Linked DNA regions of Canis lupus familiaris. The protein of the gene in region 7 purifies or fractionates together with the protein of the main gene of each other region. This does not show direct contact. Links are inferred from orthologs where the notes say so. Each region holds a gene or a part of one and is shown on either strand. Other genes may lie near its edges. The genes, in order: SKIL, EP300, TGFBR1, USP15, SMARCC2, SMARCC1 and SMAD2.

The links.
Region 1: the proteins of SMAD2 (region 7) and SKIL purify together in Homo sapiens (affinity purification with western blotting; 8 studies listed by BioGRID and IntAct, with this or other methods). This does not show direct contact. The link is inferred for Canis lupus familiaris from reciprocal best matches to the Homo sapiens genes SMAD2 and SKIL.
Region 2: the proteins of SMAD2 (region 7) and EP300 purify together in Homo sapiens (affinity purification with western blotting; 4 studies listed by BioGRID). This does not show direct contact. The link is inferred for Canis lupus familiaris from reciprocal best matches to the Homo sapiens genes SMAD2 and EP300.
Region 3: the proteins of SMAD2 (region 7) and TGFBR1 purify together in Homo sapiens (affinity purification with western blotting; 8 studies listed by BioGRID and IntAct, with this or other methods). This does not show direct contact. The link is inferred for Canis lupus familiaris from reciprocal best matches to the Homo sapiens genes SMAD2 and TGFBR1.
Region 4: the proteins of SMAD2 (region 7) and USP15 purify together in Homo sapiens (affinity purification with western blotting; 4 studies listed by BioGRID). This does not show direct contact. The link is inferred for Canis lupus familiaris from reciprocal best matches to the Homo sapiens genes SMAD2 and USP15.
Region 5: the proteins of SMAD2 (region 7) and SMARCC2 purify together in Homo sapiens (affinity purification with mass spectrometry; 3 studies listed by BioGRID, with this or other methods). This does not show direct contact. The link is inferred for Canis lupus familiaris from reciprocal best matches to the Homo sapiens genes SMAD2 and SMARCC2.
Region 6: the proteins of SMAD2 (region 7) and SMARCC1 purify together in Homo sapiens (affinity purification with mass spectrometry; 3 studies listed by BioGRID, with this or other methods). This does not show direct contact. The link is inferred for Canis lupus familiaris from reciprocal best matches to the Homo sapiens genes SMAD2 and SMARCC1.

The regions. Positions count from the first base shown.
Region 1 is NC_049255.1:35,132,076-35,135,575, reverse strand, and holds part of SKIL (ski-like protein), read right to left. Parts: coding exon 2,893-3,500; intron 1-2,892. UniProt on the Homo sapiens protein: May have regulatory role in cell division or differentiation in response to extracellular signals.
Region 2 is NC_049231.1:25,034,750-25,038,249, forward strand, and holds part of EP300 (histone acetyltransferase p300), read right to left. Parts: coding exon 3,429-3,500; intron 3,160-3,428; coding exon 937-3,159; 3' UTR 1-936. UniProt on the Homo sapiens protein: Functions as a histone acetyltransferase and regulates transcription via chromatin remodeling. Acetylates all four core histones in nucleosomes. Histone acetylation gives an epigenetic tag for transcriptional activation.
Region 3 is NC_049232.1:56,498,754-56,502,778, reverse strand, and holds the start of TGFBR1 (TGF-beta receptor type-1), read right to left. Parts: upstream 2,801-4,025; 5' UTR 2,766-2,800; coding exon 2,678-2,765; intron 1-2,677. UniProt on the Homo sapiens protein: Transmembrane serine/threonine kinase forming with the TGF-beta type II serine/threonine kinase receptor, TGFBR2, the non-promiscuous receptor for the TGF-beta cytokines TGFB1, TGFB2 and TGFB3.
Region 4 is NC_049231.1:5,996,448-5,999,472, forward strand, and holds the end of USP15 (ubiquitin carboxyl-terminal hydrolase 15), read left to right. Parts: intron 1-491; coding exon 492-674; 3' UTR 675-2,525; downstream 2,526-3,025. UniProt on the Homo sapiens protein: Hydrolase that removes conjugated ubiquitin from target proteins and regulates various pathways such as the TGF-beta receptor signaling, NF-kappa-B and RNF41/NRDP1-PRKN pathways.
Region 5 is NC_049231.1:846,729-850,228, forward strand, and holds part of SMARCC2 (SWI/SNF complex subunit SMARCC2), read right to left. Parts: intron 2,577-3,500; coding exon 2,445-2,576; intron 2,340-2,444; coding exon 2,224-2,339; intron 1,845-2,223; coding exon 1,720-1,844; intron 503-1,719; coding exon 443-502; intron 326-442; coding exon 288-325; intron 2-287; coding exon 1-1. UniProt on the Homo sapiens protein: Involved in transcriptional activation and repression of select genes by chromatin remodeling (alteration of DNA-nucleosome topology).
Region 6 is NC_049241.1:41,659,012-41,662,511, reverse strand, and holds part of SMARCC1 (SWI/SNF complex subunit SMARCC1), read right to left. Parts: intron 2,256-3,500; coding exon 2,142-2,255; intron 1,340-2,141; coding exon 1,186-1,339; intron 704-1,185; coding exon 590-703; intron 1-589. UniProt on the Homo sapiens protein: Involved in transcriptional activation and repression of select genes by chromatin remodeling (alteration of DNA-nucleosome topology).
Region 7 is NC_049228.1:43,687,275-43,691,436, reverse strand, and holds the start of SMAD2 (mothers against decapentaplegic homolog 2), read right to left. Parts: upstream 2,801-4,162; 5' UTR 2,703-2,800; intron 2,317-2,702; exon of another isoform or gene 2,233-2,316; intron 1-2,232. UniProt on the Homo sapiens protein: Receptor-regulated SMAD (R-SMAD) that is an intracellular signal transducer and transcriptional modulator activated by TGF-beta (transforming growth factor) and activin type 1 receptor kinases.

The DNA.
Region 1 (3,500 bases), on a different chromosome or scaffold from region 7:
GAGCCAGTTCCTCACTTAGAACACTGACCTTATACCACTTATTTCTCCCATCTAAATATAGCTACTAACTATGCAAATTAAATGTAGCTATTAGTCATGCAAATAGTTTGGTGATCATTACTAATATAATTTCCACCCTTGGAAATAGTTTAACAGTTGCTACATTTCAATCAACTGCCTATTGAGTTTCATAATTTTGTTTTTTCAATCTAAGACAATACTTTGACTATGTAAACTATATAAACATACTGAATTATCAAAATATATTGAATTACATTAGCATTCACAGTAAGCATAAGGTACTTTACATAAGAGATTAATATATTTAGTATACTCTTGTACTTAAAAAAAAAAAAAAGAGAGAGAGAGAGAGAGAGAGAAAGAAAGAAAGCCTGTCTTGACTTTTTCAAATGAGTTTCCTCTGGGTCTACTTGGTTTGTTTGGCAACCGACTCACTGACTCACAGAAGATAATAAAAAATGTTCCCCAGTCAAGGATATCTCCTAGCCGCCCCCCTCCCAGTTATATACCTTAGTTTATAATTCAAGTTAATACAGTGTTTATGAACCAGTATACTTAGGGAAATTGATAGGAAAAGTTACTGTTTCTCAAAATTCAGTTTCTACTACTAAGTTTGCTTTAGGGAAAAGCTGTGAAAACTACTAGATGTCAAGTCAGAAGAACTGCATTGGACTCCTGACTCCACCACCCACTAGTTATACAACCTGGAACATGTGACCCATCTGGGGCTGGTATCTCATCTGAGAAGCCTTGTTCACAGACCTTCAAGAAAGAACTACCTCACAAAGTTTTAAGGAGTAAACTTTCAAAATATGAAGTGGCAAGCATGATAAACCACTCAAGTATATACATATATATACACATACACATGAAGTCAAAAGTTTTCTTTCCTAAAGATTTGATTACTAGAAATCTTCCTAAATTTCCTTAAATTGCTGAAAATTCACATAAAATTGGAAATACTAACAAAATACACCAAAACACTGAAGTAAATCTGCAAAAAGGTAACATAGCCAAAAGGTGAAGGAAAAAATCTCGGACCTTCCCAAATAAAAAAATGAATTCAAATAAATAATTTCTGAGACAATAAAGGACTACATCCAGATGAAGAATGGTTTCAATTTTACCCAAATCCTGGCACATTCAGTTTCGGTTAAGTAAATTCATCATTTTTCTTTTTAACCTTTATCATTGGCTCTCAGATGCTTTTTCTCACAAACGCAGAGCAGGAATATCAGGCAAAGTAGTTTATCCCAAAAATGCTTATGTTAGAGCAATGAAGATTATTGGAGCAAGAACATCTGGCAAGTAATGTGGTCACCTATGGGCATGTAAGAGTAGGGCTCCTAATTGACTTAGGGCAAGATACCACAAATATCAAAAGGAGCATGCCACGTTTTGAGAATGTAGATAATTTCCAAGCACAAACTTCAGCGTGGGGCCAATCCAGCTGTAAGCAAGTCCTGCAATTTGGGAACTGGCCTGAAGTCAATCCTGCTTTAAAATCAGTCAATAACTGCACATGAACAATATACACTTATCTAGTAGCCACAGGCAAGGAATCTCAAAGTGCTGACCCTTTGGAAATGGCAAGTAGCAAACTATCCTGAATTCGAGTCTAAAATTACCCTCTTGAGCTTCAGAAGCAAATCATAGTTCTAAAACTAAACTGTAACTAAATTTCCCTCAAAACCTTAAAGGTACCATAATAAAGCACATGACACCAAATCTTAGGCTCTAGCCCAAGTTCTAATGTTGCTGTGAATAAGCCTCAGTCATTTAATACGCCTCATTCATTTCGTCTGTGAAGTAGAAAAGGCAGAGATTCTTTCGAGAAATAAAAACTAAGAGTGGAAAAATTAGATTCTTAAAATGAAACATGGCCAATCTTTTGTTGTATGAATCAAATAAAATTATACACGTAAAACCGCTCAAGAACATTTGCCACATTGTAAGTGTTAAATAGTGCTAGCTCGTATATGGATTTTAATCAAGTAGAAAAGTATACGTTAAAACCAGATCAACAAACTGGATATTTAATAACCCAAATCTTGTTTTACCCGGGCATTCAAACTCTTAGAATGAAGATCTTCAGATACCAGATAATGTGGTGGAAACATGTTTACGATCTCCATACTGACAGATTTTTATATTAATATTTAGTCTAAAAATATCTTTTTATTCTAAAGCTATCATATTCTTTTAAAGTTATTTCTTTAAAAAAAAAAAAAAAACTTGCTTACTGGAATCACAGATTCTTCAGATAAACCTACCTTTTCCATTTATTTCCAATACCGATCAAGCCTAAATACCAGGTACAGAAACAGTGTTAGAAATCCCAGATCTACCTTTGAAAGATGCTGTTTGAAGCCTACAACCAGGATTGTTTTGGCTAGCTATTACACCATTTGCAAATGGAAATAACACCAAAGTGTAAATTATCTCCAGTCCTAGGACAACAACAGATCTAGTCATCAAAAAGCAGGATGTGTGAAAAAGAAAGAGAACATGACTTGAGAAAGAAGCCCCAGATCCCCCACTCCCTGGCTGTATAATCTTAGGAAAGCCACTTGATCTCTCTGAGCCTCATTCTCTTTATCTGTAGAATGGGAATAATCCTACTTCTTGCACTAGGTTGTTTGGAAGATCAAACGAGCACATACACACACACACAGGAAAGCACTTTATAGCCTAAAATGTGTAACACAAACATAACACATTACAGAGACCAGTATTTTTTGTTGTGTTGTGTGAGCAGGAACAGCTTCTTAATGCACAGGTTAAGCAATAGTCTAAATATAGCCTTGATTTCAAAGTGAACCTCTGCCATTATTCAAAATTACTATTTAAACAGAACAAAACAAAACTTGCCTTGGATTGGGTTCTCTTTCCGTTTCTCAGGCTAAATTTCTCCTTCATTTCTTCTAAAATTATCTTCAGTTTCTTTTCTTCAGGTGTCCCTAAGTACTTCTGGTTCACATGGAGATAGCAATGCCATTTGGCGGACTCGAAGCCCCAGTGGCAAGTCCTTTTGTCAGGTGATCTGTGAGAATGCATCACAAATGTCTGGGGTGCAAACATTCCACAGCACTCCAGGCACTGAATGCACGGAGCATCAGGCTGAACGTAAAACTGGGGTGCAAAGAGACCCTGACATTTGCCCAAACATTCATGTTCCACTTCAAAGGCACTGCCAGTTTCCTTTAACTGGGCCAATGAGTTTTTCGCAGGAAGTACGCTACCGTTTTGGGGAAAAGTGCGTGGCCGCAATAAAGCGTTACATAGTCTCTGTGCGTCAGTTAACGTGATCAGTCCGCAGGATGGGGCATTGAATGGAAGTATTCCCAGGACCTTTAGGATGTGAAGCTGGTCTGAAGTACACCGTGAACAATAGATGTACAATTCGTCACACACGGTATTTATCTGCTGGAGCGAAAATTCTCGGAGAACCGAATTTAAGACTTGGGGCAAACAGAGTC
Region 2 (3,500 bases), on a different chromosome or scaffold from region 7:
ATGGGGGGGTTAGGGGCAGGGTAAGGAGGAAGAAAGCAAGCGAAGAAGAAACCCCAGGGACATTTTGCATGTTAAAATCATCCCACAGGAATCGTTTCTTACCCTCTTTTAAATTTTTTCCTTTGTTAGATGTAAAAATAACGAAAAAAATTCTTTCAAGAAACAGAACCACAATATATAATACATCAATTTGGCAGCTGCCCCTGTATATTTTGAAAAAGTCATTTTTCTCTCTACATGTACAAATTATTTTAATACTTGAAGTTTTTACGCTCAGACTTACGGAATAGAAAATTTTCTGGAGCACAAAAGTTGACTTCAGGGGAGGAAAGGGGAAATTTTTTTTTTTTTTTTTTTTTTTTACATTTTTAAAAGAATGAACATCTTTGCACCCAGAGAAAAAAAATTGGTATTTTAATATATATTTATATATATTTATATATATATAGAATGTAATTTTAAAGTAACATTAACCCCTTTTGTCCTCTGGTTTTAGAAATGTTCTAACTCTTCCATAAAGTGAGGAAAATAGGGAAAAATGTCAACCATCTGCACCAGTAAATAATAACTATTAATATTACATATTTTCATTAATTTAAAAAAAATAATAAAACCTATTGGAGGTGCAAGGCAGGAGCGTGTGGTTGGCTTCCCAGACCTCAGCCTCCTCCCAGTGCACACTTGAACCACACACACAAGGGAAAAAAAGAGGCCGGCAGGACCGGCCATAACAAAAATATATTCTTTGTACTCTATCATCCCTCAGGTTCATCTGGCTTGTTTGCTTTAAACCACAAACAGCTACTGCACAGTCCTTATGTGTTCCACGGAAAATTGTCTTTTAGGCTAAGAAAGATTCAAAAAAATTGTTTTCAGTACAAAAAGTCTTGTTAAGAGAAAATAATTTTTTTGCTCCCAAAATACTACAAGGTGTCTCTAGTGTATGTCTAGTGTACTCTGTGAGAGGTTCGAATTCAAGTCTGAGTTATCGGTGCTGAGTCCCAGGTCCGTGGCGCTTGCACCATGGAGGTTTGCCATGCCTGGATTGCTAGCGAGCTGAGAGAGCATTGAACTCTGGTCCGGGCTGGCAAAATGCCCTTGTTCCATGGGGTTGGCCTGGGCAGCTACCAGTCCGGGATGTGGAGAACTGGTCTGTGGGGAGACATGGTGCGGAGAGGGCTGAGGCTGCATCCTTGGGGAAGGGCTGGAGTGGGGAGGCTGGGACTGCGGCCGTGGAGAAGGGACAGGCTGGGGAGAGCGCACTTGATTGGAGAGAGAAGAAGGGATCTGCTGGCCTTGGAGGTGTGGGGACTGAGCCTGGCTTGGGAGCATATGCTGCTGGGGGCTCATGGGGTTGGGCTGAGCAGGGGACCCCATCTGTTGCTGGAGGAGTCGCTGCTGATACGCCTGCAAACTGGCTCCAGCCTCTGCTCCCAAGGCCTGGGGGAGCTGGCCCATCTGTCCCATGTTCCCTTGTTGCATCTGCTGCATGTGATGTTGCATCCGCTGTTGCTGCTGCTGCTGCTGTGGCGGCGGCGGTGGTGGGGGGTAGCCAACTCCTTGGGGTTGCTGGAACTGGTTATGGTTGGCCATCCCGGGGCCGATTCCAGGCCCTGCTCCCTGCTGCTGCTGCTGCTGTTGCTGCTGCATCATCTGCTGCCGCCTCAAGATGTCTCGGAACTGTGAAGGCATGGTGTTGTGATTCATGTTCATTTGCTGAGCTTGGGGGCTCATCCCTCCCATGGGTGGCTGGAGTTGCTGCTGCGGCTGCTGCTGGGGCAGGCCGGCCCTCTGGACGCCCGCTTGCATGGGGTTCATGTTCGGCATGGCTGGATTAGAGTGGACCCCCTGCTGGCCTGGCATGGTAGGCGGCTGCAGCCCGGGCTGGCCCTGGGGCATGCCAGGCTGCCCAGGGAGGGGCTGTGGATTCGAGTTGGCATACTTGGCAGCCCGCTGCTTGATGAATGCAGCCAACAGCTGGGGGTTGGCATGAAGGATACTAAGCACCTGTTGCTGCTGTAGGGGAGAGCTGGGAGACCTGAGAGTCCGCAAAAGGTTTTGTAAGGCTTGTTGAGACACAGTGCCTGGTTTGAGAGGGCTCACACCTACCTGGCCCAGTCCTGGCTGGGGAGCTATATTCAAGGGCTGACCATGCTGGGCCACTGACATCATGGCTGGCCTCGGCATCCCAGGCTGTAGCTGCTGGGGCTGAGGCAAACCTCCCTGGACCCACTGTGGCTGCTGCTGCATCCCAGTGGGCCCCATCCCTGGCTCCAAATGCCCACTGGGACCTCTGGCCATAGGGGGTGGGTTCATACCCATGGGGGCCATCGGAGTCATCTGGGGCATCTGGTGCTGGATTGGCCTTTGAAAAATCTGCACGTGGGCCATCTGGCGCTGCGTCTCAGCTGCCCTCTGAATCTGCATTGCCATTTCCACTGCAGCAGGTGGGGGCCCTGGAAGGGGTGGCTGAGCAGTCTGAGGGGGAGTGGGAGGGGTCACCTGGCCTGCTGCCTTACCCTGGGAGACGGGGCCAGCAGCCTGAGTCCTGGGCAAATAGGGTGGCATGCTGTTGGGAGGAGTGGGCTGGGGCTGAGAGGGAGGCTGGGGCTGGGGTGTCTGCGGGGTGGTTGGTTGTTGACCAGTCGGTGTGGTTGGAGTGGCAGGAGTTGGGGAGGGCAGGCCTTGCTGCTGCCCCACCACCCCGGTCCGCTGCATACTGGCCATCCTCCTGCGGAGCATCTGAGCCTGCTGGAGCCGGTGCTGCAGCTGCTGTTGCCGGAGCTTTTGCTTGATGTTGAGGCAGAAGGGCACAGGGCACTTGTTCTCCTGGCAGTGCTTGGCGTGGTAGCAGCAGAGGGCGATGAGCTGCTTGCAGATGGGGCAGCCCCCGTTGGTCTTCCGTTTGCAGCCCTTGGTGTGCTGTACCACCCGCTTCATCTTCTGGCAGGAGGGCAGTGAGCAGTTGGCGTTCCGGCACTGGCAGGCATGCACCAGGGACTGAATGCAGCGCTGGATGCTCAGGCGGCGGGAGTCTCCTGGGCTTTGGGTGGCTGCAGCCTGCTGGCTGTTGCTCTCGTCGTCTAAGCCAAGACCTAGTTTCTCCATTTTGTGGTCATGGTTTTTAGTGTTATAGCAGGTGATACATAAATCATAATCCTGGGGGGGAAACAGGCACAGTCAACTCTCCAAGATTTAAGTAATTAAAAAAACAGTCTACATATTCTGCTAGGGCCCAAAACCCCCTTCTAGAGAAAGACTCTTCAGCGCTACCACTGAAATATAAGACCAGGCCCCTCCCACTCTGCGCTACTACTCACCAATGGCCCCGAGCACAGGCCTTTGTCACCAGTGTTTCTCCTGCCTCTCAGGAACCTGGAGCCCCCCACCCACCCCAGCGCCCTCTGCTCCCCACCCCCGGGGCCTACCTCGCAGACAGTGCAGTGCCAGCGGGTCTCCACATGGTGCTTGCACTCGTTGCAGGTGTAGACAAAGCGGTC
Region 3 (4,025 bases), on a different chromosome or scaffold from region 7:
AAAACACAGCGCTAGGCTCTGAAAGTATAAAGGAATAAAAGGCATAACCTTTGCCCTCTGGGTACCATTCCAAAGTACAGATAAATAACAGTGCGAGATGGTAGAAATAAACAATACAAACAACAATACAAACTGTAAGCGCTATACATACAGTTCAGGGAAATAAAGAGTTCAGGAACTAAACCAGTACATGAAGCCAAAACTGAGAACTTCTCACTCCCAAAAGGGGCAAAAGGAAGTATGTAGTTAGAAGGCTAAAAAGTCAGGAGTCAGTGGAAAAACAGAAATCGCTGGAACTGGAGGGTTAGAGTAATAAGAAGTGAGATTTTTGGTTGAATACTCAGAAATGGCCCTAATCATAAGCCTTAAGTGTTGCTGAATACAAATGGAAACTCTTATAAACCCTTTGTGAGAATGGCTGTGGAAGATTAGTTTGGCCATAACCTACAGAAAAGTCTAGATGAGAGAAACTGGAAAGCAAACAGATTCAAGGGATAACAGGACACTAAACTGATGGCTGTATACAAAGAAAGGAAGAGACATTCAAGAGGCATTGATATAAAGAAGAGTTGGGCTCTACGCATGTTATCAAAGAAAAAACTTACATGATGGCAGAAAGGAAACCAGATTCTCACATGAGATATCCATGTAGACATCTGGTACGGTACTAATCTGTGTACTAAGGCCAGAGAACCAATTTCTCCAGAGAAATCTATGTTAGAGAAGCTGGTCAGAGGGAAACAAAACCGATACCCAGACAATAAGGAACAACTGCAAGGTCTTAAAAAGGAAGGCAAATTATAAATTTAAAATTGCACTTGACCTTCTTTAGAATATATGAATGATCAACATCAACATAACCAGCAAATGTGGGCAGTCCAGTTGAGGTAATGTAGGCTTAAGAATAACAGCACCTGGATCAACTCTGTATTGTATACATGCCACTGTAGTCTGTAAGCTCCTCCCCAGCACGGGTTGAGCAATGTTCTGTGCAGCAATTAAGTCCAACACTGTTCCTTGAATACAGGAACACTTAGTGTGCTAGGCTACAAAGAGGGAACTATGCTATTCTAGTTAACAGTGGTGTAGAAATGCTACTTTTGCTTGATACACGAACTACTGATTCTCCCACCTGCCCCTAATATACCTTGCCCCCACGCCCTAGGCCAATGTCAAAAATCCACGGTTTCCTCTAACCCAGGCCTAGTATGAAGGGACTCCAGGAATGTACTGGGAAGTCAACCTCATTTTCATATTGTGAGGGTAAAATCAAAAAGTGAACAGTAAAGACCAACTGCTCATTAGTGAACGTGAAAAGAAACACGGGCTGTGCCAGACGAGTATATACATTAAGGTGTATAGGTTTTGGAAACACTGGACTCTGGGTGCAAATCCTAACTCCAGTCCTTAGTCATGGAGTACTTAACCTGTTCAAAGCTCAGTCTTCTCATCTATAAAATGGGGCAAATGCCACTAGGAGGGTTTCACGGTCAGCATTAGATAACGCACTTCGGTGTACTTCGCGCATCTACACCATGGTGAAGCTCTTCACAGACAGTAGTAACTAGTGGCAGTCTCATTCTTGGAGTTCTTTGTTTTTTAAACATTTGGTATTCAATTTTAGAAACAGAAATGTACTTTCACTGTAATTTAGTTTCTAACACTGAGGATCTATATTTTAGTTTCTAGTATTTTAGTCTGGATGCTAACGGTTTTTCTCTCTCCCACGGAGGCTGGTCAGGACACCACGTACCCCATCCTGATTTAACCCTTTTGGAAAACGGAGCAAACGTTCTCCCTGGAAAACCAACCGCACGGAGGGACTCCGGATTCGAAACTACTGTCACTCGAGAAAAGGAACATCACCGGCGACGTTCCTTCGAGGAAATAAAAGCGTTCGATCAATCCGGAGAGTCCTTCCCATTCAAACGTTCCGAACCCCGCAGAGTGAGCAAAACGTTCAAGTTTCTACTACGAAAAACAATCTGTAGCCTCCTGGTTACTGGATGCACTTCAACGCTCCCCAGACGCACGGAAGAAACGTTCCGCACATCCTCGTGCCTCCTCCTTCTCACACAAAGCTTGGAGGCTCCCCTTCCGAAGCCGCCCCGGCTGGAAAAGGAGCCCCCGGGGCGGGCGGGGGGGGGGCGGCGGCCCTGTGACCCCGGGTCTCCACCGCACACCGCCCCCCCCGCCGCTCCCCTACCCCGCCCGGGAGCCCCGGGAGCCCCGCGCCCCCTCCCGCTCCGGGCGGGGCGCCCCGCCTCCGCCGGGCCCGGCCAGACAGACGCACACCCCCGGGCGCTCGGCCCGCGCCCCCTCGCTCCTCGGAAGGCAGCCCCGGCCGCCGAGCGCTCCGCCCCGTCGACGCCGCCCCCCCGCGGCCCGGAGCCCGGAGCAGGGGCGACCGCCGGCGGCCGGGCACGTCCACGCGCGCTCGGACACACGCCCCCGCCCCGCCCCGCCCCGCCCGCGCTCCCCGCCCGCGCCTCGCGTGGCGGCCGCCAGGCCAGGCCAGCCCGGCCCCGGCCCTGCCCCTGCCCCGGCCCCGGCCCCGCGCCGCCACCTGCGCCCCCGGCCCCGCGCCATGTTTGAGAAAGAGAGGGAGCGAGCCAGAGGCCGGGCCCGGCCCGCGCGCCCCGCAGCCGCCCGCCAGCCCCGCCGCGCCGCCGCTCACCCGTCGCCCCCGGGACCAGCGTCGCCGCCGCCGCCGCCAGCACGAGGAGGAGCAGCCGGGGGCGCGGAGCAGCGGCCGCCGCCCCCATGGTCCCGCCGCCACCGCCTGTGGCCCGGTCCGGCCCGGCCGCCGCCTCGCCTCAGCAAGCCTCGCCTCGCCCCACCTCCCGCCGCCGCGGCGGCCTCGCTCCGGCCCTTTGTAACTGCTCCGGGGCTGCGCGTCCATTGGCTGCCGGGCTCCCGCCGGCCCCGCCTCCCGGCGCTCCGCGAGCGGCCGAGCGGGACCCCGCCCGGAGCCCCGCCCACCGGCCCGCCGGACAGCCAATCCGCAGCCGCGGGCGCCGGCCTCTGGCCACGCCCCCAGGCTCCCCGGGGGCCGTGCTGCCAGACCCCTGCCCCAGCCAGAGCCGCCCCCGGCTGCGCGGAGGCCGGGCCGGGGGCAGGGTGTGGGGCGCCCCGGCCTGGGCCAGCCTCCGGCCGCGGACGCCGGGGGTCGCGCCACAGGGGTGTCTGGCTGTGAGGCGCCTTCGGGAAGAGGCTGTGGCCGCGCGACGCTCTTCCAACCTCTCCAAGCGCGTAAGATCCAGCACTGACCCCGACCCCATCCACAGCCCCGCACCCGCGTCCCCAACACCTGCACCCAGATCCGCGGGGTCGTCGGGCAGGCTTCAACTTCCACTTCCCAGACCCACGCCTCAACTTTCGATATCCGCCCCGCCGCCCGGAAAAATCTTGCCTCGGTGCCTTCCACGGACGCCTCAGTCTCCCGCCTACCGCCGCCCGTCCGCGCCCCCGCCGTCGGCGTCTGACCCCAACCACACTCCAGGCCCCGAAAGTCCTCAAATCCCGGCCTCAGGCCTCGGATCCTGAGATCGGACACGCCCCCTCCTCCCTCAGCCCCTCAGCCCACCCCCCCCCCGCAGCCTCTCTCCCTCCGGAACTCCGAGCAGACCCAGCACCCGGCTCCAAACCACACTCCCTCCTTCTGACCCCTTCCGGATCCAGGTGGGAAAAGGAAGGTCCCCACCACCCCCTCACCACACCCCCCCGCCCCAGAGGACGAGGATTCCCCTTCTTGGCTCGCAGCACTCCTCCCCTGGCGGAGGGGGAGCAGTCAATACTTTGACTTGCCTCTGACACGCCTGCACAATAATTCTGAGGTGTCACTAGAAACCCAAATAAACTCGGCTACGTTTTCATTCTGAATTCCTAATTTACTGTGAGACGCTCCACCCACCTTCCCTCTGGGACACCAAAATGAGCTCCAGATTTGTAATTCTTCCTGTCAGACTAGTCCTCTCTTCAGACACAAACACAGCCGAGGAGGCTGTGTTCCACAGAACAGAGAA
Region 4 (3,025 bases), on a different chromosome or scaffold from region 7:
GAAACAACTTGAGTATTTGTTACGCTAAGAAGTGCAGTAGAGGAGGACTTAGTAAGGATACGCGGTGATGATGGATGGAGCAATATCCTTAAAACGGTAGGAAGAGCTGGACTCATAGCAAACTTCAAGTGAAGCCATTAGTAGTAGAAAGAAGCTTACCTTTTCCTTAGAGATGGGAGGGAAGAAGGCATAGAATTGTTTCATGTTAGAGTAGCTGGGTTAATCTGTGATATACTTGCATTTACTTATCTGTTCGATCAATGTAATAGAGAATAAAAATGTTAATTCTAGTGAGTATTCTTTCTTTATACATAGAAGTTGTCTTATATATAAACCAATTTTAGTAACTTCCATTTGACCCTTTGTGATTTTTAAATTTGATTTAGGCTCTGTCACCAAAGTCTTTTGGTTACCAGCTGAAACATTTATGGTATACTTAATGTGATCTTTGAGAATCATGACCATTTTAACATGCTTTGTTTTTTCAACAGTCCAAAGCAGCATATGTACTTTTCTACCAGAGACAAGACACTTTCAGTGGAACTGGCTTTTTTCCTCTTGACCGAGAAACTAAAGGTGCTTCAGCTGCCACAGGCATCCCATTAGAAAGTGATGAAGATAGCAATGATAATGACAATGATATAGAAAACGAAAACTGTATGCACACTAACTAATGAAAGTCCTAGAAGCCATAAAAGAGAGACTTTCCTGCTGGTGGTATCTGTTGAAATGATGAAGTTACCCACCACATTAAACAAAAGTCTGAGATGGGGAGTTTCAGATAACCGAATGTAAATCCTTTATCAGATTTTAACTTGTGCAGTACTTGAAGTGAAACACAATGAAAACTTTAACAGAAATTGTCTCTTAATACATTTACAGTCTTGTAATTACAAGCTAAATATATATAGGAAATCACAAATAAATCCCTTTTAAGTTTGCTGCTGTTTTGATGAATTATGTTTTCTTTAATTTTTTGGATGTGAGTTAATTGATGACAAATGTTAAATTTGTGGATGTTGGTCATTTATTTTGCTCTAATAATACTGCAAGAAAACTATGGCTGAACTTAGTTTTTGGATAATCTAGTTCATGTGCATTAGGCTGCCACATATATTACTACTATGATATTTAGCTGCGGTATCAATGTGGCATAAATACTGCAGTAGTATTCTTGGAAAACCAAATTTTCAAATCTATCCCTGGTAATCAATATGGGCCTATTAAAGAACCAAATCATGATATAAGAAACAATCTTGGAAAAGTTATTTTCTTTTGTAGTATCATTAAAAATCCAGATTATGTTCATCTTGCTGCTGTGGAAAACAGGTTCTAGATTTCACACTCCATCTAAAATCATTTTTCAGTTAAATGTAAGTATTTTTTACTGCTATTGGGATCTATTCCTTAGATATTCAAAAAAATTTTGACTTGCTTTAAAATGCATATCTTTAATCTGGTGTTGGTCCAAAATTAAAATTTTTGCTGTCTGTTTTTCTCTACCCCATTTTTTGGTAATTTGGCAACTTTTAGCTCTTCCAATTATTATAATATAAGGACAGACTTAATAGTATTCTGTATCCATAGTAATAATTACATCAAGCTTAGATGAGAAATTTTTTTAATATACTGGCCTTTAAATCATTAATGGACAATTGGCTTTAAAGGTAGGTCTGTTAACTTTCTTTGTGTGTTCCTGATGGAATTCACCATAGCCTTACAGCTTTTCTCAGAAGGTAACTTGTTAATTAAGAAAATTGGCATTTGCATGTTCTAGAGTCAGAACCTGTATAGTATATAAAGCATACAAACCTTGAATTTGATTTTAGTTCACCACATTCAAGGATCCAGGATGCCAAAAATATGTGTGAACATTTGAAACATTTTTCATTTGCTGCTTTTTCCCTTTGATCTAGTTGAAAGAATGTATTGTCAATTGGCATACAATACTGCCTTTAATAGAAAATCTAAATGCTGGGGCACATTTCACATATCGACTACCTGAGAAATTGCTTTGTGTCCCACTGTTATTAAAGCAAAAAGTATAATGTTCTTCACTTGAACTAATCAAATACAATAGATTATAAATTGTGTATTGTAAATAAAAGTTCACTCTGTGAGTGCACATTTTGGTAAATTATTTATTTATGTTAGCATTTAAAAGTTAAAAAAAAATGCATTTGACCAGGATAAATGAGGTATGTTGATCATGGCTTTGCTTTATACCTTGATATTAAAGCTGGTTTTTCATCCTGGTATTTTAAAAGCTGCTTTGGGTTTTTGTTTTTTTTTTTTTTCTTTTTTTTCTTTTCTTTTCTTTTCTTTTCTTTTCTTTTCTTTTCTTTCTTTTTTCTTTTCTTTTCTTTCTTTCTTTTTTCTTTCTTTTCTTCTTTTTTTTTTTAATGTAAACTAACCTCCTGCATGACAGAGGTTAAAATTTTGTCTGCACTTGAGTTCACTTGAGTTTACATTTGAAATGTGCATGTTTATTTATACAGATTTCAATAAAGCTATTTAAGGCCTTTTTTAGTCTTTTATTTCTTACTCTGAATCTTTTGATAAAAATCCCCCATTTTATGGGTAGGTGACTATATAATAGACATTTTAGTTAGTGTATAATTAAAAATAGAAAGGAAAGCATGTCAAAGTAAAGCAAATCCTATTAAGGATATGTTTCAAAGTTGATTTTTTAATCTAAATATTCATTAAACATTTGTGCACCTACTAATCACTGTTCTGTAGCTTTAAGATATAGCAGTAAAGAAGCATCCCTCCACTCACAGAGCTTGCAGTCTTTCTGCTGTCTACCAACTAATAGGCTTTCCATTTTTCTGAGGTTTAAAGAAAAACCAAAATTAACTTTTTCCAGCCCTGGATTATAGTCTCCACCTCAGTTGTCCATAGAGACCATTTACTTTTAATGCCTGTGATTAACTTTTATTCCCACTAAAAGAAGTGTTCTAAAATAGAAAATGTTGTTAATAATGTTGAATTTGTCAATGTCAGCTGCAAAAAAAAAAAACAA
Region 5 (3,500 bases), on a different chromosome or scaffold from region 7:
CCTAAAAGTATGGAGGCCGCTGGACACTCAGCATTCCCATTATGCCCCTGGCAACCCTCTGCTTCTCCCACACCCCGGGAAAGTGGGAACTAATGATGCCATGGGAATGGACTGTTAAGGGCCCCAAGACCTAGAAAGGGTCAGAGTTTTGAGTTCTGAACAACAGCTAAAACTAGACTAAGGTGGGAAAACCCTAGGCAGTAGAAAGTTCTGGGTAGAAGGAACTTTAGAAGCGCAAATCCGAATCCCATAGAGAGGTAGAGAGGGCCTCTCTAAACTGGCTCCACCTTGCCCGTGGTCTCCATGCTTTCATCCTCCTGTTCATCTGAAAGAGAGAGTGAGCAAATCAGGAGTGGAGCCTCCAGAGCAGCAGCAAGAGTCCTGCCCTCTGAAAAGCCGTGGCAGGCTAGGGGAAGCGGGCCGCAGAGCCTCCTCTCCTTACCCAGGTCAGTCATGGTGCCTCCTTTGACCGGGGCAGACTCTGAATCCTTCTTAGTGTTGACTGCCAGGAGAGAGAGTCATTTTATCAGACAGGGTCTGCCCGAATCAACTCTTTAACTCTCCACCTTTAACAATTCTAAGAGATCTCTGATCACAAAAAGGGTTCGGTAACTCCCTCCAGGCACAGTCATTCTGGGGCTTGAAACTCAACTGCCACTTTCCCTCCTTCCCCTGCCAAACGGTCACTTAACTCTTCCTATACAGAAGCATCTTCCACTCTACGGACACTCATCAAGCATTCCTGTCTCTAACAGGCCCCTCTTATCTCCATCTGTGTGTCTGTGAACTCTTAATGGATTGAGACAGAGTCTGACCAAATCACTCTGGAGAGGACTGGTTGGATCGCCAACATTTTTGAAAGCAAGGGGGCTTCTCTTAACCGAATCCGTACACAACAGCTCAGGAGAAAACACGAATATGGAAGAGAGCCGCCGTGATTGATGAAGGGGGTTGAGGCCAGCACTCCTCTCTCTCAGTAGCCCCCACCGCAACCCCTGAAATACACTCCTTGACATCGGAGCTCGTCTATGGAATACAGATCGCAGTCCACCTTTGCAGCTATACAACTCTCTATCATTGCAAAGCAATGGTCTCCAAAGTGGGGTTCTCACACAGGACGGCAAGAGATGGTCCAGTGGAATACAGGTAGAGAATAACAGAACTTCTCTTTATATTTGTTTTTTTCAGTTTATCCTTTACATTTTCCCATTTTTTAGATAATGTTTGCATGTGTCTCACGATGTTCCTAAAGCAACGGTACAGCAGCACATATATAACTCATGCTCAAGGGGCACCCAGGTGGCTCAGTGGTTGAGCATCTGCCTTCGGCTCTGGTCATGATCCCGGGGTCCTGGGATCGAGTCCCACATCGGGCTCCCTTTGTGGAGCCTGCTTCTCCCTCTGCCTGTGTCTCTACCTCTCTCTCTCTGTGTCTCTCATGAATAAGTAAATAAAACCTTTAAAAATAATAATAATAATAATCTGTGATCAAATACTTTACTGAAGGGGGTAAGTGATCAAAAACAGTTCAGAAACAACTACTGTCAGGTACAAGCACAGTACACAACTCAGATGTGGCTCAAGTCAGAGGACTGCCCATGTTGAGAATAATTTTAATAAACAGCTAAATTGAAGGGCCAGATCCTCAAGACCCGGAGCTCGGCCTGGGAAATCAGCCCTCTAGGAAGGTAGGTCCCCGAAGCTTGGTGTGGCCCGTACCTGTCTTAGGTAACGTCACCTCCTCTACATTGGGGACTGGTGAAGGCTCATCCATGTCCTTTGTCAGGTCTTCTTGCTCCTCCTCTCTGTGCCCACGCTTTGACTTGGTGTAAGGTGTTGAGGGACTGGGGAGGAAAGGGGAGGAAAGGTAATGAAAGCTAACCTGGTCACCCTTAAGCAAGGAGTCCCTGGAAGCTGAGGTTCAAGGGGAGTAAAGCAAGAGAGAATCCCCAAGGGGGAGCTAAGCATGCATAGACATGCATCACTACAGAGGACAGGGAAGTGCAAAGGTCTTCCCTTGAAGATGTCACTCTGAGGTCACTAGTGGCTGCAACTAGAACTAACAAGTGGGCAGCTAAAGAAGACCTCACCCTCCCTCTCAGGACACCTACAGGAGCAGGGCCGACCCCAGTCAGGGCCAGGTAGTCACAGGAAGGAGTCTATCCTTCCTTCCTTCAACATGGAGAGAATGGTGAAGGTGGGGCAGGGTAGCGGCTGGCATACCCTTTCTTGGCATTTTTCTTCTTAGCTTCTGGGGTTGGTGAAGGAGAGGGGGAGCGCTTCCTCTTTTTATAGTTGCCCCCCTTCTTGTCCCGTCGATCTGAATCTGGGCTGTTCACCTGCAGGTTGGAGAATTGGAGTGAATGTCAGCCAACAATCCCCACTGAAGACTTATCCCCATGCTTGTGCTAAGGGATCAGGGAAGAAAGAAGAGGAAGTTTCACCTCATCCGTCAGAGTCTTGGCTGAAATCTTCTTTCGGCGGGAGACAGGGCTTTTATCATCATTTACTTCATAGTCTTCCTCATTCATCCATTCATTGAAAGTGTCTGTGTCCAGAATCCACTTTGCATGAACCTGAAGTACAAAAGGCAGACTGTGCTGGAGAGAAGCCTGAAAGCCACAGCTGTCTGTGGGTCCCCCCTTTATAAGATCTTGTTTATTTATCTGAGAGAGCAATTGCGAGTGTAAGAGAGAGCACAAGTGGGAGGGAGGAGCAGGCTCCCCGCTAAGCAGGGAGCCTGATGCCAGGCTCAATCCCAGCACCCTGGGATCATGAACTGAGCTGAAAGCAGACATCCAATCAACTGAGCCACCCAGGTGCCCCTGTCTGGGGGCCCTTAAGAGAAGAGCTGAAGGAGACAAGAGCCTGTGCTTGACCTCCAAGGAGTGGTCTGGTCCCAGTATACATCTTTTTTTTTTTTTTTTTAAGATTTTATTTTATTATTATTTTTTAACTATAAAGTTTTTTTTTTAAGATTTATTTATTTATTTGTTTATTTATGAGGGGGGGGGGCAGAGACACAGGAGGAGGGAGAAGCAGAGAGAGGCAGAGACACAGGAGGAGGGAAAAGCAGGCTCCACACCAGGAGCCCAACGTGGGACTTGATCCCGGGACTCCAGGATCGTGCCCTGGGCCAAAGGCAGGCACCAAACCGCTGAGCCACCCAAGGATCCCCCAACTATAAAGTTTTGATGTAAACTCTAAACTTCTTGAAGAAACTTTATTTATTTATTAGAAAGGGCAGAGAGCCAGTATGAGCAGGGGGTAGGGGCAGAAGGAGAAGGAGAGGGAGAAGCAGGCTCCCTACTGAGCAGGGAGCCCCACAGGTGGCTGGGTCCCAGGATACAGAGATCATGACCTGAGCCAAAGGCAGACACTTAACTGACTGAGCCACTCAGGCACCCCTAAAAAGATTTTATTTTTAAGTAACATCTACACACAACACAGGGCTCAAATTTACAACCCCACGATCAACAGTTGCATGCTCTACCAACTGA
Region 6 (3,500 bases), on a different chromosome or scaffold from region 7:
GGCTCTACTACCCAGTCTGAGCTTATTTATTTATTTATTAGAAAGATTTTTATTTATTTATTAATGTAGACACACAGAGAGAGGCAGAGACATTGGCAGAGGGAAAAGCAGGCTCCATGCAGGAAGCCCGATGTGGGACTCAATCCCGGATCCAGCATCACGCCCTGAGCCAAAAGCAGACATTCAACTGCTGAGCCACCCAGGCACCCCCAGTCTGAGCTCATTTAATCCTGTCTTCTGTTGTGCTCAACCTGCTGCTAAAATCACCCAATGAGTTAATTTCGGGTGTATTTTTTTAATTATCCAATATTCATTTGATTCTTTGTATAGATTCCAATTATGCTGAAATTCTCCACTTTTTCTCATTTTATTTAACATATTAATCAGAGTTAGTTTAAAATACCTACCATTCTAACCATACAGAAAAAATGGTAAATGACTTGTTTTATAAAATGCCAACAGAGTAAGTAGAATGTGTACCCTTTTACATTATAGACAGTTAAGTTTCTTATGAAAAATGACACTTCTTAGGACAAAGAAGAGGACATGCTGGATTGCAGCCCAGTTGTTTCTAGAAAAAAGTCCTTACCTTTGCTAAGGTTTTCTTGGAGTAAATGTCAGTGCGAAGACCAAAGTTCTGCAAATCAATTGGTTTCTCCTTGTTCTTCTCAGGAAAATTTAACATCTGCTGAGCAGCAGGGACCTAGGAGTTGGACAAATGATAGATGGCTGTATTAACCTCTACAAAGTAAGGGGGGATAGAAGGTTTTACAGTACTGTTTAATACTGACATGTAAGGAGATTTTATTAAAAAAATAAATATCCAAACCTTTGCCCTACACTTCCAACATTGCAACATACTATATAAGCAACATTTTTCTGCCTCTCTTAAATCCCAGAGAAAACAGTAAACAGATTTTCTTTAATATGCTCTACCATTTCATGTAAAGAACAATTCTTGCCCTAGACTCATGCTACTCTAACTTAAGGCTATATAAAATCTGGTTAACATACTAATCTTTTCAAGAATGTATGTGTGTGGATATCCACTTTCCAAAAGTTAGGAAAGGGAAGAAGTTTCACACATCAGTGTATAATCAGTGTAATAATAATGCCTGATACTAGTTTTTTAGTGTAATAATTACTAATACTAAAACTATAATATTAATGTAATAATTAAGTTACCTGAGGTGATCGAAGATGTAGAGGCACAAGCCCAGAGGGGGTATCAGCTAACACATTAAAATGAGGAGTAGGAGGAGGTCCCATTGCCATGGGTCGACTTTCTGGATCCACTTGGTAATTAACAAGCCCCCACTGCTCTAAAAAGGCATGAACCCTGGAAGAGTAAAGCTCATAAAGTTAAAATCTAGGGAATGTATCTCATTTCCTTCATAACCATTATCGCATTTCATTAAAAAATAAAAACAACAAAACAAGTAAATGTTCTCTGCAGGCTATGAACCATCATAAAGTTAATTAACAATTTTGGTTTGTTGTATGAGGGACAATTTCTGTAAATTCAAAATAATATTGACAGCAAAGCGGGATCCCTGGGTGGCGCAGCGGTTTGGCGCCTGCCTTTGGCCCAGGGCGCCATCCTGGAGACCCAGGATCGAATCCCACATCGGGCTCCCGGTGCATGGAGCCTGCTTCTCCCTCTGCCTATGTCTCTGCCTCTCTCTCTCTCTCTGTGACTATCATAAATAAATAAAAATTAAAAAAAAAAAAATATTGACAGCAAAGCACCCCAAAACCCAGTACAAAGCCTAATTATTTCAATCACAGAAATCAGAGAACAAATGTTCATTGAAGTCCATGGTGAAAGAACTCACACACAGACCAAATTCAAACAGAAGATTCACATGTGATTTGCTTCTTTAGATAGATCTACTGTACAGAGCTTATCCACTCTCCATCCCTGGTCGTTTTAGGATTTCATTATAAAACAAAAGATGTCAGTTATAAAAATCTTAAAATGAGGAGAAAATGCCACGGTATTAAATATACAACTAAATAAAAGATATTTGATTAAGGTATTTTATTAAGAAAGAAAAGATCTTGTTTCATCAAACATTAAACAGCAATGCATCAGTAACCACCTAAAGTGAAGTGTCTGAGAAAAACTCAGGCATCTTTACCTCATCACAGCACACACGTCTCCAGTCAAGTTCCTCCGACAAGCAGTGCTGGTTAAATACTCTTGTGGGTTTAGGCGATATGTGTCAATCATAAAATTTCGATATGCCAAGTATCTAAAAAGCAGAGGCAAAATTCATAAGGCAGACACACATCCTTTCAGAAATAACAACTCACAGAGCCCAAAATTATCATATTCCAACCAAATCCACCAAAAAGTCAATATTCCAACCAACAATAGTATTGACTATTTACAGTCATGAATGTAACTAAGGATAAAAACCCCTAATATGCAAAAGAAAACCCACTATTATTTAAAAACAATAAATAAAATGGAGTAAAATCTGATGAAGTTAAAGTAACACAGGGCGCCTGGCTGGCTTAGTTGATAGAGCATGTGACTCTTGATCTTGGGGAGGGGAGTTCAAGACCCACAATGGGTAGAGTTCGCTTAAAAATGATGATGATAATAGTAATGTGAACATAAATACAAAAGTGGTCACAGTGGTGAATGGATAAATCCTTAGTTCCCTGCTGAATTTGCAAATAACACCTGGTCACTTAGGCTGTCTCCCAACTACTGTGTATCCTACCATAATTCATTTAAATCTCACAATTTCTTCATAAAGTAGGGTTTACTACTATCATCTCATTTATCAACAAGCAAATTAAAGCACAGAGTGATTAAAAACTGTGTCCTAGACCACAAGGCTAGTAACTATGGAGCTAGAATTCAACATGGTGGAGGGAGATACTCTGGAATCTATGCTCTTAACACATGTTCCATCTCATCTCTATATTCTTCCTAGAGCTACATGTGGGTCAGGTCAGTGGCTATATACCCAGTTAGGCAAGGACTAGAACCCATGAGGGCAAAATCAAAGCTAAGACAAGAACAGATAAAAAAAAGAGAGAGAGAGAGAGAAACTGATTTTTTGAGTCACAGCAGATTTCACAACATCCCTAAGCATTTCTATGACAAAATATTTAAAACAAGTGAAAAGAAGCTAGAGAGCTAGCAAAAGTTCTCACCACAAAAGTAAAACAAAAATCTAGCAAGTTAAGGGTGACTACATCAGAGTAGAGAAGGTACCCTGCTCAAAAAAGCTCTCGTATATGGACAAGTGGATAAACAAAGATCTAAAGATAAATTTTTAGATTTACGGAAACTAAAATGCTAAATTGTGCTTTTAAACAAGAGACTGCCAAGAACTGGAACTATTTACAAATGGTAGCAATTGCCAAGTTAGCCAAAAGAATATACCATGTCTAACTAGATGAAAAAAAATTATCAGGGTTTCTTATACCAAATCTGTGATTGTGGTTTTAAATGAATCCTTACAGCTTTGTTATAGAAAGGT
Region 7 (4,162 bases):
CCCATCTGCCAGACTGCACTAAATACAGCTTTTATATGCATTACAAAAACACCTGTATAAAAAGCTGCTACAAAACAAGGCCTTTGGAGCCCTAAAGCACAAAACCAACAGAATAAAAACCAAACAAGAATAAGGGGAGCTTTCAGACATTTATAAAAGCCCAAACTGAAAATATTTGCTAAATATAAAAATGGGTCTTTGATCAGTGGATGATGCAGCTCAACTGTTTTTCACTCACATATCTCCCCCCAACGTGAAGTAACAAGATTATGGCAATATGATTCTAATATTTACAGTAGGAAAATGAAAAGGGGACCTTTTGCCATCTTGAAGTAGAAACCAGCTTTGTTCCTATTAAAGAGAAAGGACTGCTGAAATACACAAAACCATCCCCAAATCCCTACTTAGTTAAAACACATACCGGGCCTGACAAGCCACAAACAACAGGAAATTACCCTGCATGGTTTCTTACAAGACTATTATTACATGAACCTTACAGACTGTGTAGAGATTTGATCACTTATGCCTAGGCACAGGTAAGAAGTTACAGCCACGAAAACCTAACTCTTGCTGAACACCTACAATGTGAAAGCACTATAGAAGGCATAGCTACAAAGTACAAAAGCGAAGCCCAAAGAGCGATTTCTTACTAAACAAGCCCAGAAATGGATGTTTCCTATCACATTTATAAAAACTGGCCACTGAACTACCTTAAACTCAACTTTAAGAGAACTAAGTGAGCACCTGGACTCAAAATATTCTTATTTACTACCGTAACTAGTTTTATGGCAAAAACTAAGGAACCTTAAAAATAAAGTCAGCGTTACTTTCTAAATTTAATGTAAATGTTTGGTAAATGACCGTCTGATTCAGAAAAATTCCACCAATATCCTGTATGGTTTTTTTCAAAGCAAATGAAAAAATAAAATCTTCAAACTAGGACACATTTATGAAATCCGTTTCACGTTATCTCTCCCAACTGTTACATTTGCTTCCCTTATCTCTTTATTTACATTAAAACTCCTCAAACTTCATTTAACTATTTAACTTACACTTCTACCTAAGAAAAACTTTTTAAAGGGAGTCAAAATCAAAAGTAGAACAATAGCAAATGTATTTTCAGAGTGGTAGCAAATTTGTTTTCTTATTCTGCTCAAGGAAAAACTTCCTTACAATCAGTGGTACAGGTTCAATTCACACAAAATTCAGAAGGAAAATGGAAAGGAACTAAGACTGCAGAATCATTAAAAATTCTGTAAATTAACTCAGATTTTGGGGGGGGGGGCACTTTCGAAAAATGGAATAACTCCAAGCAGGTCTGCAGTGACCATTTATTTATTCATTAATAGTTACTTTACATGTGTTACTTTAGAAGTTCAAGACAGCAAAATTGAGGACACTTAAAAGTGTAACAAACAAGACACGGTTTTCACGGAAAATGCTACTTCCAGAATCGTTCCACCCGGAGATGGTTTTTAAAATAATGGTTTAATGAACAACCAGCCGGTAGTATTTAGCTTTTAAGGGGTCAAGAGGAAGGAACACCAAAACCAACCTAGGTATTGTTTTTTCTTTTGTTTAGGATCAAAAGGAAACCATAACCACAGAAAGGTTAAGTAAGTAAAAGGCAAAAGTACCCAACCCCAAGGACAGTATCCCCCAAGAGAGAACAAAACCATTAAGGTTGCAAATGTGTAAACCAAGTTTGAAATACGTGAAATCAATTAGCGTGCTTTCTAAAAGGCGTGTGATAAAAACCAACAGGCTCCACTCCCAGGGCAACTTTCACAAGTGAGTGCAGGATCTCCACGGAGGATCAGCCGTGTGCCTGCTTGTGCAGAGTACACGCGAGCAGTTCCGAACCCCGGGTTTAGAATGGTTAACAAAGGTTACAGGACCAAAAAAAAAAAAAAAAAAAGTGGAAGCGAAGTATCGCACGCTCCTACCAGGGCTTGCCAACAACTCCCGAAACAAGAAGAGCTCGGTCCCTCCGGCTTTGAAAATCAGAACCACAAAGTACGAAGCGTGTTCGCGGCAGGGGAGACGGGCCACGGCCGGGCAGCTCCGGCGCCGACCCAGGCCCCGCGCCCCCCCGCGCCCCCCCGCGCCCCCGGCCCCGACCCCGCCACACCCCGGCCCCCAGGGCCGTGCGACGCGCCGAGCCTCGCCGAGACCCGAGCCCGACGCAAACACACCCCTACCCCGAGGGCCCGCCGGGCGCCGCCGCTTTACCTGCACCGGGGCTCCGGGTCCCGCCCCGTCAGAGCCGGGGGTCCGGGACCTTTTGTTCCTTCCTCTTCCGAATGGGATGAGGGGCTGGGAGGGGAGAGGGGAAGGGGCGACTGGAGGCGGAACTGAAAACACTCCCGCGGCCGCCCGGCCCGGCCCGGCCCGCCCCGCCCCCCAGCCAGTGCCCGGCCCGCGGCCCCGCGCGCGGGGAGGGGACGCGGGCTCGGCCACCGCCCGCGGGAGGGAGGGGGTGGGGACGCGCGTCCCGCCGCCGCCGCCGCCGCCGCCGCCGCCGCCGCCGCGCCGCGCCGCCGCCCCTCCTCCCCTCGGGCGCGAGCCCGCCCGCATCCCCCGCCCCCCGCCCCGGGCCGCCCGGACGGCCGAGCCCTCCCCCGCCGCGCCCGCCGGCCCACCTCCGCTTCCGCCCTGCGCCCTCCGCCGCCGGCCGCAGCGGCGCGGCGCGGCGCACCCACCTTCGGGCGGCTGGCTCGGCGCTCGCTGGCTGCTGGCTGGGAGCTGCTCCGCCGCCGCCGCGGCCGCGCGGTAGACCCGCCTCCCACCCCGGGCCGCGAGCCCCGCCGATTCGCCGGCGCAGCCCCGGGGCTGGCACCCTGCCGCCCGCTGATTGGCGCCCCCGGCCGCCCGTTAGGGCGCGAGGCACGCCGGCCGAGCGCAGCGCCCGGCGCGCACGGAAGACGGGGCGAGCGGAGGAGGGAAGGAGGGAGGCCGAGCGCCCGGGAAGGGCCGGGGCGCGAGCGGGGCTCGGAGACTCGCGGGCCACTACCTCCCCACCTCCGCTCCCTTCGGCCGCCCCGCCCTCCCGGCCGGACCGGCGGCGCGCGCAGCCAATGAGCGCGCGCGGTGCTCGGGGTGTGAGCCGCGCGTCGGGGGCCTCGAATCGGAAGGGAGACGTCGCTCGCTGATTGGTCCCGCCTCCCCCGTAGAGCGTGAGGCGAGGCGCGGCCGCCGGGCGGGCGGGCGGGCGGCCGGGGCCGAGGCGGGGTGGCACGCCCGCGGCCTCGGCTGGCGACGTCTGGGGCGCGCTGCCGCGGGCGGCTCCGCGGCGGGAAGGCGCGGGACCTGCCGCGCTGCCGGCCCCGGCCCGGCCCCGCCCCGCCGTCCTGCCCGCGCCATTGGGTGGGGCCCGTGGGCCGCCGCCGAGCCCACCGCCCGGACCCCGCCGCGAGCGGACACGTGCTCGTCCCGGGGGAGGCCCGAGGGCCGCCTCGAGGACGCGCCGAGCCGGGGCCGGGCCGACCGCGCCGAGTGAGTGGGCGGGGCCCTCGTGCAGCCGAACGGGGCGGGGGCCGAGCCGCAAACCGGCGCTGGCGGGGCTCTTCTCCGGGCCCCCGCGGCGGGCGGGGGGATGCCAGGTGTTTCTGAAGAGCCGGGACGTGGTTCCGCCTTCGCGGAAGGTGGTGCGACTGCCGCATGCTCCGAGAGGCCCTCGCCAGGTCTAGACGCTAGGAGCCTAACACGATGCTCCTCACCGCTCTCTGGCCCTCCCTTCCTCCTCGTTTCTCCGGCGTCCAGGCGGTGTTCGCAGGCCCCGACCCGGAGGCCCTAAGCTGCCGGCCGCCCAGGCCGTCCAGGCCGCCCAAAGCCGGGGGGGCGGCTGGGCATCCGCACTGCCGTAACCTTGTCGCTTTGACCCTGCAGACACCAAGCCTCGGCCGGAAGCATGGACCCCGACTAATCACGTTCAAGTATTTACTTACTAAGCATCTACTATGTTTGGCGGCGAGCACCGTAGGACTACAGATGAAGAGAGACCTAGGTCTTAGGGCAGGCTGTCGGTGCCAGAGCCAGCACTACAAACACCATTTTCTTGGCTCCCTGGCCAGCACGCATCGTCATCAGTCCTTAGGAACAGGTAATACCGGATGACCGTTTCAAACAGCAAGAGGCCTTGAAGCTTACTCTCTCTTTTCAG